2 linked regions of the Caenorhabditis elegans genome follow. The protein of the gene in region 2 purifies or fractionates together with the protein of the main gene of each other region. This does not show direct contact. Each region holds a gene or a part of one and is shown on either strand. Other genes may lie near its edges.

Region 1 (5,003 bases), on a different chromosome or scaffold from region 2:
AAAATTAAATTTTTTTTTTCAAATGACAAAAAAATTAAGAAAGCATTAACATGAGTTTTTAACAAAATAAAAAATTTCTTCAAATGACCCATCTAAAAACACATAAATCTCTCAAATCCAAATACTCTCGGACATAATTTCACTAATAACAGGAGTGCGAAACCATGTGGTTCTAATCGAATAAGGTCATCGTCTCCGTCATTCAACTCATCAAAACACAGACGCATTCAAAAGAAAGTACATTGATTCTTTGGTCTCTTCCCCACATGTTTGCAATTGCCGACTTTTCTCGGGTATTCTGCGGGTGTTATAATGGACCTGGTAGTATTTACACAGCTTACTTGCTTTAGGGGGAATATCCTAAAGTGCTGGGGAACAAAATAAAATATTCAGGTTTTTTTAGAAAAAAAATCGGATTTTCCATAAATGAGCTGAAATTTTTGATGCTGAAAATAACAAAATGACACATGAAAATTTTAAAAATCCAAAAATCCAAAAAAAAAAAGTTTCAAAACTATTTTGAGATTTTGTGTATGTTTAAAAATAATGTCAACGAACAAGAACAATTACATTTTTCCAAACAAATTTTCTTTCAGAAACGAAAAATCTAAATAATATTTTTTGAAAAGTTTAACGATTCAAAAAAAATAGATAACGTCATTTTTCAAAGTAATTAAAACAAGCACCTCCGATTTTAAAAAAAGTTGTAAAGGTAGTTCCGAGCATATGACGAGAAATTTAAAAGAAGACGCAGACTCTACGAGAAATGTCTGATGTGGAATAATATAGTGTAGTTTGTAGTGCAAACAATAGGTGCGAAGAGCACTTGGTACTTTAGAAAAAGAGCAAAAATGTGCCAAGAATATAGGTGTTTATTTACAGATTATGAATTCGTTATTGGTAGTTCATAAATAATTCCGGATGGGAAAAGTTTACAAAAAACACTTCGAACACTTTCAAAATCTCCACATTTATTTGGTCTTGGTAGATGAATTGCTGGAAATTTCAGAGTTTTTTCCAGACAAGGTTTAATATAAAATACCTGAGCAATACTATTAAGCTTCATCAAAGCAGCAATCCTTCCGGAATAATTCGGGCGGGACAAATGGTTCAAGTAATAGTCGTGTAAATGATTTGATATAGAATCTTGAAATTGCTCAACGGCTTCAAGTATTTGCCCGTCACATTGTTTGCTAATTTGTTGGAAACACAAATGACATAGCATGTAACAAAGTTCCTCATCTGTTGGGTTGAGTTGTACCATCAATTCCAGCAGCTCTTCATGTTTGTTCCAATTTGAATCGATGCTGAAAAAATAGTAAGAGAGTAATGTTTTTCGAAAAGTTCGTAAAACAAAATTGATGAATTTTCAAGTCTTACGTTTTTAAGTTGGTGAGTTGTAGAGTGAAATTGGATTTTTCAAAAACATTTTTAAATTGGCCGCCAAATTGAGACTAAACTAAAAATTCGGGTAATTTTTTTCAGTCAATTTTTTCGGTTAATTCAATTTTATAAATTAAGTTTCAGCTAATTTTCAGAACAAAATCAAAATTTCAAGTTTGTATTACTCTAAACATATTTCTAGAAGTTTCCTGATTATTGTAGGAAACTCTAGAAGTTTCCAGAAAAATCTAAAATTTTCCAGATTTTTCTAGAAATTTCAAGATTTTTCTGGAAAGACCCGCTAACAACTTTTCTCAGAAATTTTAATTTTTTCGCCAAAATTGTATTCTTAGAAAATTTTCAGTTTCCTGCCGAAATATTTTTCTTTTGATGCGTCTCGCCACGATGGGACTCGCAACGATGAGTCTCGCCACAAATGGAGAGGCTCCGCCCATTGATGACGTAGTCAACAGACGTACACTATTTTTTAATATATAGGCAATGATTTAATTTTTTTAAAATAATGCTCACAATGCAAACTGCTCCGCTTTGTAATTTGAGCACCAAGATAAGTCGAACTCTACCGACTTCCCACAAGCCACTAGATCATTTTCCATTTGTAATACCATAAGAATATCATCACAATTCATCCGCTTTCTCATTTTGGCGGTAGTTGCCAGCTTTTCCAAACCATTCCAGACAATCCAAACTTTTTTAATAATCTCTATCTAAATATTTTTATTTATTTTTATTTTTATAAATAAAAAAATATTTTTATTGTAATTTGTACACAAAACATTGCAAAATTTTTAAACTTTACCTGAAATTCCGAAGAAAACTGTTGAAAATCTTCAAAGTAGGTGAACCACTTGGCAACTTTCAGCATATCATTTTCCCACATTGCAAACATTTCATCTTTTCCGAATTTTTCTAGCCGTTTCGTTACTTTTCTCTGAGACCCCCGGACTTGCTGTAAACCCAAAGCCAGCTTTTTCAAAATATTCGACGTTTGAATAGGTGTTTCAATGCCCTGAAGTACACAACTTTAGTTAAAGCTTGTACTAGCTGGAAATATCTTGCCTTTAGTAACTCCCCGTAGGACTTGTCAATCAAAAATTTGACATCGATATAGACCTTGGGATTTTGTGCATCTTTTGGTGGAGCAGTGAGAATTATAAAGCTTGGTCGAGCAAGGAATGTTTCAAGCGTCTGGAAATTGTATGTGCATGGCCCGACCTTGAGTTTGGGTTTTTGATGGTGAGGCGTGGAACCCGGAGGATGTCGGGCCACTTATTTCAGTCTCAATAACAATTTTCCGTTTTTTTATAAGACAACTTACCGGTGGAATTCTTCCAGCTAGACTGATGCATATTGAACTTCTCTTGTATGGGTCCCTTTCGAATTGAAAGTCTGAAAAAAACTAGTACTAATAGGGAGCCAGATCCCTTACTCTCAATTTTCATCCCAATTTCGAAGCATTTTTTTAATCGACACTTTTTACAGCTCACATATCCATTTTTGTAAAAATCGCAAACATTGTTCTTTTTACATGGCTTGAGATTGTTTGAAGCTCCGAATCTCCTGGAATTTTGTAAAATATTGTTAAAATATTAGAATTAGAAATTTACCTGAAAAACACCGCACAAGCTCGACAGGTGTACGCTCCGAAATGAATCCCATGGGGCGGCTTATAGCAAACCGGGCACTTTTTAGTGGTAGAAATGGTGAGGTCCGGTGGTGAGGAGCCGGATGAGCAAGGGGTATCCATTTTGTTTTCCTGGAATATGTATTTTTAATGTATTGTTTCAGCATAAATTAACCAGCGTAAAAATCAAATAAAGACATTTTCAAATCGGTGTAACCATATGATGAAAAAATTATTTGTTGAACTTTGAAGAGAGCGCAGAGAAAATGGAAGGACAAAACGCGTATTTTGTAGTGTATGTGTGGGTGCCCTACAGTTTGAAAGATCAAAGAGTATAATAATAGGAAAAAGTGACCTAATAAAAATTTTTGTCGACTTTAATGTAAAAAGTGGCATCACTATCTTCTAAATGCTCAAGAAACATAGGGTTTTAAATTTAAAAATAATGGTTTATTTATAGTTTGTAGTTTTTGTAGTTTGTAGTGCGTGATTATTTTTGAGCAAAACCCTTCATTTTTTAAAAACATTTTACAGAAATTTCAGCGCAAGGTTCAACGTTCTCAATTAATTTTCAGCAAAATTGAAGTTTTCGAAAAATTTGTAATTTTTTTTCAAAAATAGCTCGGCGAGAGCTGACGCAAAATTCAAAATTTTCAAACAATTCGGCGCGAAACTTAGACTTCAATATTTTTTCTGAAATTTACCGCGGAAATCTAATTTTTTCAAAAAAATAATTTTGGAATTCCTGAATTATGTCCAATATAGTATTATATTTTCACGCAAAATTCAAAATTTTATTCTATTTAAAATCCAGAGTTAAATTCAAATTAAAATATTTTATTCGTCGTTTTGCCGTAATAATAAAGCATGTTGAGATACAAACAAATGATTTTTTTTTAGAAAAAAAAAACATAATTTTTTGAGATCTTCCGCACTTCCATTGACTACCAATAATCCACAAATAATTCAGGATTTGAATACTCCACGAATAACACTTTGAACAGTCTCATCAGTTCACATTTCAGTCGTTCCCGCTGGACGTACTTCTGAAATTTCAAAAAAAGGTTAATTTTAGAATTCATAGAACAAAAAACCTGAAAAGCATTGTTGAGCTTTATCATTGAAACGATCCTTCCTGAGTAAGTCGGGCGGTTTTCATGGTTTATGTAGTAGTCATGTAAATGATCAGAAAGGGTGTCTTGAAGCTGCTCAACGGTTTCTTGAGTAAACCTGTCACATGATTTTTTGATATGTTCGAAGCAAATATGGCATAGCATATAACTGAGTTCTTCGTCTGTTGGATTGAGATCTACCATTAGTTGCACTAAATATTCGAGCTGAGCTTGATGGTCAAAGTCGAAGCTGAAAATGTTATTATCGTTGATCTCCGGGTATATGATAAGAAGCAGCCGACATTTATCGCAAGCCTCGATCGATGTCGGCCGCTGTGGATTCCAAAACTCACAACTGCAACTGCTCGGTTTTATAACTCGAGCACCAGGAAAGATCGATCTCGATCGACTGTTCACAGGCCACCAAATCATCGTCAATCTGAAGCACAACATTCGCACTTTCGCATGTGGAATTTTTTTTAGCATTTGCAGTATTTGCCAGCTTTTCCATTGCCGCCCAAATAGCCCAGACTTGCTTGATCATATCGATCTGCAAAAGTTTTTTTTTTCATTAGTATAAGTTTGATCTACCGGCACAAACCTGAAGATTATATGGAAGTTTCTGGAAATTGTCGAAATATGTGAACCATTTTGCAATCTTCAACATATCAGTTTCCCACATTGCAAGAACTTCGTCCTTCCCGAATTTTGACAGGATTTTTGTCACATTGCACTGAGTACTGCGAATTTTTTCCAGGCCTAGAGCCAGTTTTTTCAAGATGTTCGGTTGTCTGATAGGTGATTCGCAGCCCTGGAATATCGATTTTTCTTTGTTTCCGGGAGCATGGCAATAAGTTCTTGTT
Region 2 (5,951 bases):
CCGTTTTTGACAGCGAATAAAATTATTCTGGAAAGTTTCACTGTAAAATTTAAGCTTACTAGCACACGACAGGCGCTACTGCACCATAAAATACTCACGTTTTGGAGTAGCAGCTTCACCGCGTCGCGATGTCCTTCCCACACGGCAGACAACAGCGGTGTGATTCCGTATTTGTCCTTATCCTGAATCAACAAACATAAATGCATATTGTTGAATATCGTGCTGATTCACCTGAATATTCGCTCCAATGCTAATCAAATACGCAATGATAGAAGTCTGTCCGTAGTCGGCGGCAATTTGAATGGCGGTGCGGCCGTTGTAGATCTCGTGAACGTTCTTCTCGTTGACGCTCTGCTTCACTGCATCGATCTCTCCGTTTTGTACGTTCCAGGCGACGGACATCTGGAATTGTTGTGAGTTTTAATAGAAAATGTTCACAAAAATGTAAATAGCAGTAGGTTAGAAACCAGTGAAATAAAATCTCAAGGAAACTTCAAGAAAATTGAGCTTCAAACTTTTATTTACAAAATTTATGATACGTGTTTTAAAAAAACAAAACTGTAACAACAAAATATGTTAGAAATTGACAATTTGGATAAAAATTTGTATACAGAACAATATATCAGACTGGACAGCTAGTTTCCGCTGAACAACGCAAAAAATCGATGAGAAAGGCTGGTGTTGTGTGCTTAGTGTGCGCAGAGAAATGAAAAAAGAGATGAAGATCAGGTGTGAAAACATTGAAAAATGAAACAATAAACAACGGAAAACGAAATATCTCTGAAGTGTTGTTCAATTTTCAAGCAGCCGACACTGGACTGATAACTTCCTCTTCATCTTCGTCGGAAGAATCATCCGATTCATAGGGATATTCAGACTCCACAAAATATGGAACACCAAACGAATCTGCGTCTGTGAGACGATCAATTTGAACGTGACGCATTTGCTCTTCCAAATGAATTCGTTCCTGATCATTATTGTTATTGAGTTGAAATATGGGCCAGTAATGCCTCAAATGTCTTGTAATTTCGGTTTCAACATTTTGATTATTGCCAAAAATCCGATCATAATTCATTGTGATCCGATGGAGCAAAGGTACACGACCACCAGGTCGGCTGAGAGTTTTTGTCATAAAGATTGGAAACGAATTTTTGAATCCATCGGTAAGTTTGTAGCCTGAAAATTGAAATATGCTACAGATTGCTCAGTTTTCGAAAAGGAAAAAATAATTCAAAATAGTTCTGAAAAATGCTGAGTTGTCTCAAAATTACTGAAGGTTTTATCATGTTTTGGAATACATTTTCATAAAGCTTTATCCAATGTAAATAATTGTCATTCTGACACTAAAAACGCATTCTTAAGTCTTGATTGAAATTTTTTGAAGTGAAACATTCGTCTGCAAGGCTCACGCACCTTGTCTTTGTCATGATACTTTTTGCAACGTTATCAAAAAAATTTGATAAATCTATTCTCAACTCTACCTTTAAAAATATTCAAAGGGCTCATGAAACTTGGCTCAACTTGAAGAACGTCGTTGTTGATTACACCAAGCATATAGACGAGAAGTTTTCTGAAAATAGACAGATTTTTTTCTGAAGTAAAAAATTATCCAATTTACATACCCTGTATTTACAATAATGTATTGCTCACGTTGGTATCGCTGTCTCTCATGATGATTAAAATGACGACTAAAACGTCCCCAGTTGTACACATTATTTGCATTTGCTACAATGTGGAAATCAATTTCCTTTGCGATTCTGAAAATAAAATAAGAAAAGTTTGAATTTTTTCGAAAAAAGGTTGCTCAGATTCTTCAAACAAACCAAGAACTTGAGTTGCAACTTAATACTTTATTTAGTAATTATGGTATGTTTAAAAGAAATTTCCCCACTGGCCTTTAAAAAGAATAGTATAATTTTTTTAGATAACACACAAAAAAAAATTCAAAGGTATTAAACCACTTACTTTTCTTGCCAGTCTGGATCGATTTCAGTCATAACTGCTTTTAATTTTGTATCTATTTGGTACAGGTTATACAGACAGTGCAAAACCATTTCAAATGGACCAAACACTTGGTCAATCTGAAATTAAAAAATTAAATTAGATTTACTTGCTCATAAATCCTTCAATTAACCCCTTCTGCGTGCACATCTGGTAGAAACTTCATGAGTCGTTTGAAAAGAAGTTTGAAAAGTTCCGGATTACTATTCTGGTGATGTTGCTCCTTTTTGGGACACACTGCAGCGAGGCACTAAAATTATAAACTTGTATGTTTTGATGAGTTTTAAAAACTGTACCGTGTAATATACGCAACGTTGTTTTTCATCCATCATTGGCTCTAAAACTGCAAACTTCATCAGCTCATCGAACACGTTTTGTCGATAGTTGGGGAAGTACTTTATGAGCACACTTTGGCGGGAAAAGAAAATAAGTCCGTGATTTGTTGGATTTTTCTGACGTGTCATATCTAGTTCAATTAAATGACGGTGTGCACTGTCTGCCAAAATTTCATCCGATACTGAATTATTTAGTTGTAATTGACTCATGAAGTATTGAATCTCGTAGGCATTTCTGTTTTGGAGCATCTGAAAGCTTGACCACACAGTAGAAAGAAAAATACATTCTTGAAAAAAAAACGCACTGCTACAACGAAATTCGTTTCGATTCGATCTATATCCATTTCTTTGAAATTTCCCAATTCCTCAATTGTTGTGGCATTTCTTTTTATGTTCAAAAACTCAACGGCGGTTCCCAGATTCAGCCATCTTTTTGAAACGTGGTATGTTAAAGCCTCCAGCATTTGATACGAAAAGTTTTCAGTAACAATTATAAGAGATATCAGTAGGAAGAAATTTTCGCGGCCCAGACGGACATTTTTGGCTAGCTGAAAAATTGATTTTAATAATTTTTTGAAAAGTTATTTGTTTAATGAACTGCACTGCATTTTTTTTTTTCAGTTTCGATTGTTTCCATTGTTTGGTACTTCCAAAAAGTGGTCAAAACTGAGATTTTTTCAATTTTCAAAAAATCATAAACAACATTTTAAAAAAATTTCTGTCATTGTGGTCATTGTGGTGCGATTTCCCTACAGGCGCTATCCCACTTTTAAATTCTACAAAATTTGGTGGATTACCAATTTTTCGTGGGGTACTACATTTTTCAAACACAAACACTTACTGAAAGGAAACAGCTATTTAGCTCAGCATTCGCTAGTGGTGGTAGTTGTGGTCTCAATTCGCAAATTAAATATTTCAGGCATTGCAGGCTGTCTTTGACATCTTGAATCCGCCATCGATTATTTATGCGAATATCTAAAAAAAATAATTAATATTTCACAAAAATTGTTTCATCAAATAACTACTCACCGCGCGCAATTTCCAACACAATGTCGCCAAACTTGTTTATAGCTGTTTCATAGCATTCTTCATCCTTTTCCATGACAATGCCAGTTATGTGTTTACCAGCTGCTGCGCCGAGCTTTGTCCAGAGAACAGGAGGAGCATTGAATATCAAATCTGCTCGGTACTGAAAATAATGAAAGTTTTGGCTACTCAATTGGCTTGAAATACCTCATTGAAACTGTCTTCTGGTATCAGTTTTACCAAAGCTTTCTTCCAGTAGCACATGGTTGATTCATTGATGTAGTCTCTGTAACAATTTTTTTTTGAAAAAAAGAAGAAGGTCCACTTACTGAAGCAAAGATCCCAATATATAACGAATCGTTTCTTCAGAAAATCCATTCGCCAAAATTTGCAATGCTTTTCTGATGTCTTCTTTGTTGGTGCTTGGGCTTTTAATCAAAGATTCAAAACAGGTAAATCCAAGTTCTCGGTTCATTTTGAAAGCTGAAAATAGGAATTTTATTAAAAAATAATCAGAAGTTTTAAAAAATATTGTTTTAGAAAAAAGGAACATGAGTATGATGTGTAAATGGCGGAAACCAAGAAATAAGTTTTTGAAGCATTTTTAAATGTTTTAATTTACAGTCAAAAGTGGTGAAAACTGAGTTATCACTCATCGTAATTTTAGAAGTAGCCTTCTACAATTTCATCACATATTTGAAACATTTGGAAATTTACCAACACTGAAAATTTTTTTAAAGGAGGAGTACTGGTTGGAAATTTTAAACGTTTTTTGCAAAATGTGCTCAAATTAACAGAATTTGTAATGAAACTTTTCAAAAAGTTTTCTAAATGTTTTTTGACAATTAAATATTTTGAAAAAAAAGCTAATATTAGAAGTAAAAAATATATTTTAAAAAACGGAATGACATTCCGAAATGTGTTAAAAAACCGATTATCCAACAGAGAACATGTTTGGTCAAAATCAATAGGACGTTGCTGCTCTTCTACGTCCTGGTAGTGCCTGGTAGTCAAAACGAATGCACGAAAAATGAAGCAGCAGGCAGCGTCAATTTCATGTTGCTCACAACCCACATTCTTTCAGTTGTTTTCCAAAAGCTTAATGTTGTCGCCTTCGGAAAATGAAACAGAGGCGCGGAAATTAGAATATGACGTAGATTGACGGATTGGATTGAAATGAGGCAGAAGAAATTGGAAGTTAAAGTGAAAATTGATTTTATCACGGTATATTTTTTCATAGCCAAAAAACCTTCAAGGAAACTGAATACTTGATCGTTTAGATTAAAAATGATTCAAATAAGTAAGCAAACTTCAAAAATTCTGAAAGTGTTTTAAACTATTTTATGGTGGTTTAAAATTTTTTTAAAAAATTGGGCTATTTAAAGCTAAAATCTCCAATTTTGCCGTCATGGTTTGATCTACAAAAAAGCGGAAATTTTTTGCTCAAAAATATGTGACGTCAGCACGTTCTTAACCATACAAAATCAGTTGAGAACTCTGCGTCTCTTCTCCCGCATTTTTTGTAGATCTACGTAAATCAAGCCAAAATGAGACACTCTGACACCACGTGAGCCAAAATGGGACAATTTTTTCCAAGTTAATTTGAGCACATTTCGGGTCCGTACTTTCAAAAAACTCAGAACCGTTACTCTTTTTTTAATATAATTTTAGTAAGAGCGATGAAACATATCTTTTCATTTGAAAATCAAGACACAAAAAATGAAGACCGGCATTCTTCAAAAAAAAAATCTCAGTATATTTTACCTAATCAAGAATCGTTTTTTAAGGTTTTTATGGATTTCTGGTAGCTTCCTTGTTTTTGAAATATTGGTAGTTTGTCATGAATCATTTTTTACTGAAAAATATCATGTTTTTAGCTGTTTTAATTTATGAACTTTTAACTAATCTATAAGTACTTGAAGTAAAACAATTTTTGATCGACGACATCCAAAAAGGTGGCAAAAACTTAGCAAATGCCACTTTCTGATAAAATAAAAAGACAAAATTCAGACAAAATTCAGACAAAATAAAAAATATTTATTATTGAAAAAAAACAAGTTTTATTATGGTATTTGGTTAATTTGGCATAAGGAGATTGGTTTTTTTAAATACAATTTCCTCACTAGCGCTACTCTGCCAAAAAAATAACTTCAGTTAAAATAAACGTTAGAGTTATATGGGTATAAACGGAATGAGAGCCAAAAATGACAGAACGGCTTGATTTCTCATCAATGTTTTGCTGTCCGCAACCCTTCGATGCCTCTCCACTCTCTGTCTCTATGTTTTGTCTGCGTATCTAGGCTCTCTTCGTAACCCTACACTATTTCCATTCTGCTTCGTCACTGGTCATCCAACCTCATCACTGTCCACAATACACTTTAGCTTGGTCAATGCAGTGTCTGCACTCTCTCATACAATGGGTACTCTGTATGACCGGCATGATTGGCCTGTGCGCACTGCTGGCCGTCTAAAGCGTCGGCACACACTATTCTAGGCGAACCTCCATTCAAAGAAGACAGGGAAGAGTAGTACGATGGGAATACAATTTTAACGGAAGAAAAGGAAACATGTGTCATGGTAAGTAAAAGT

What was found.
Region 1: the proteins of C43H6.4 (region 2) and nhr-202 fractionate together in Caenorhabditis elegans (co-fractionation; one large-scale study listed by BioGRID). This does not show direct contact.

The regions. Positions count from the first base shown.
Region 1 is NC_003283.11:460,748-465,750, reverse strand, and holds nhr-202 (Nuclear Hormone Receptor family), read right to left. Parts: upstream 3,164-5,003; 5' UTR 3,152-3,163; coding exon 3,012-3,151; intron 2,965-3,011; coding exon 2,834-2,964; intron 2,794-2,833; coding exon 2,723-2,793; intron 2,593-2,722; coding exon 2,464-2,592; intron 2,414-2,463; coding exon 2,204-2,413; intron 2,112-2,203; coding exon 1,915-2,111; intron 1,308-1,914; coding exon 1,043-1,307; intron 997-1,042; coding exon 895-996; 3' UTR 788-894; downstream 1-787. Other genes in the region: nhr-203 (Nuclear Hormone Receptor family), read right to left, coding at 3,973-4,074, 4,123-4,390, 4,494-4,690, 4,742-4,951.
Region 2 is NC_003284.9:2,401,918-2,407,868, reverse strand, and holds C43H6.4 (PH domain-containing protein), read right to left. Parts: upstream 3,846-5,951; 5' UTR 3,838-3,845; coding exon 3,692-3,837; intron 3,649-3,691; coding exon 3,570-3,648; intron 3,526-3,569; coding exon 3,366-3,525; intron 3,312-3,365; coding exon 3,178-3,311; intron 2,885-3,177; coding exon 2,642-2,884; intron 2,586-2,641; coding exon 2,298-2,585; intron 2,252-2,297; coding exon 2,135-2,251; intron 2,082-2,134; coding exon 1,966-2,081; intron 1,758-1,965; coding exon 1,623-1,757; intron 1,571-1,622; coding exon 1,482-1,570; intron 1,177-1,481; coding exon 800-1,176; 3' UTR 505-799; downstream 1-504. Other genes in the region: mtpn-1 (ANK_REP_REGION domain-containing protein), read right to left, coding at 99-182, 232-402; dhhc-9 (Palmitoyltransferase), read left to right, coding at 5,930-5,939.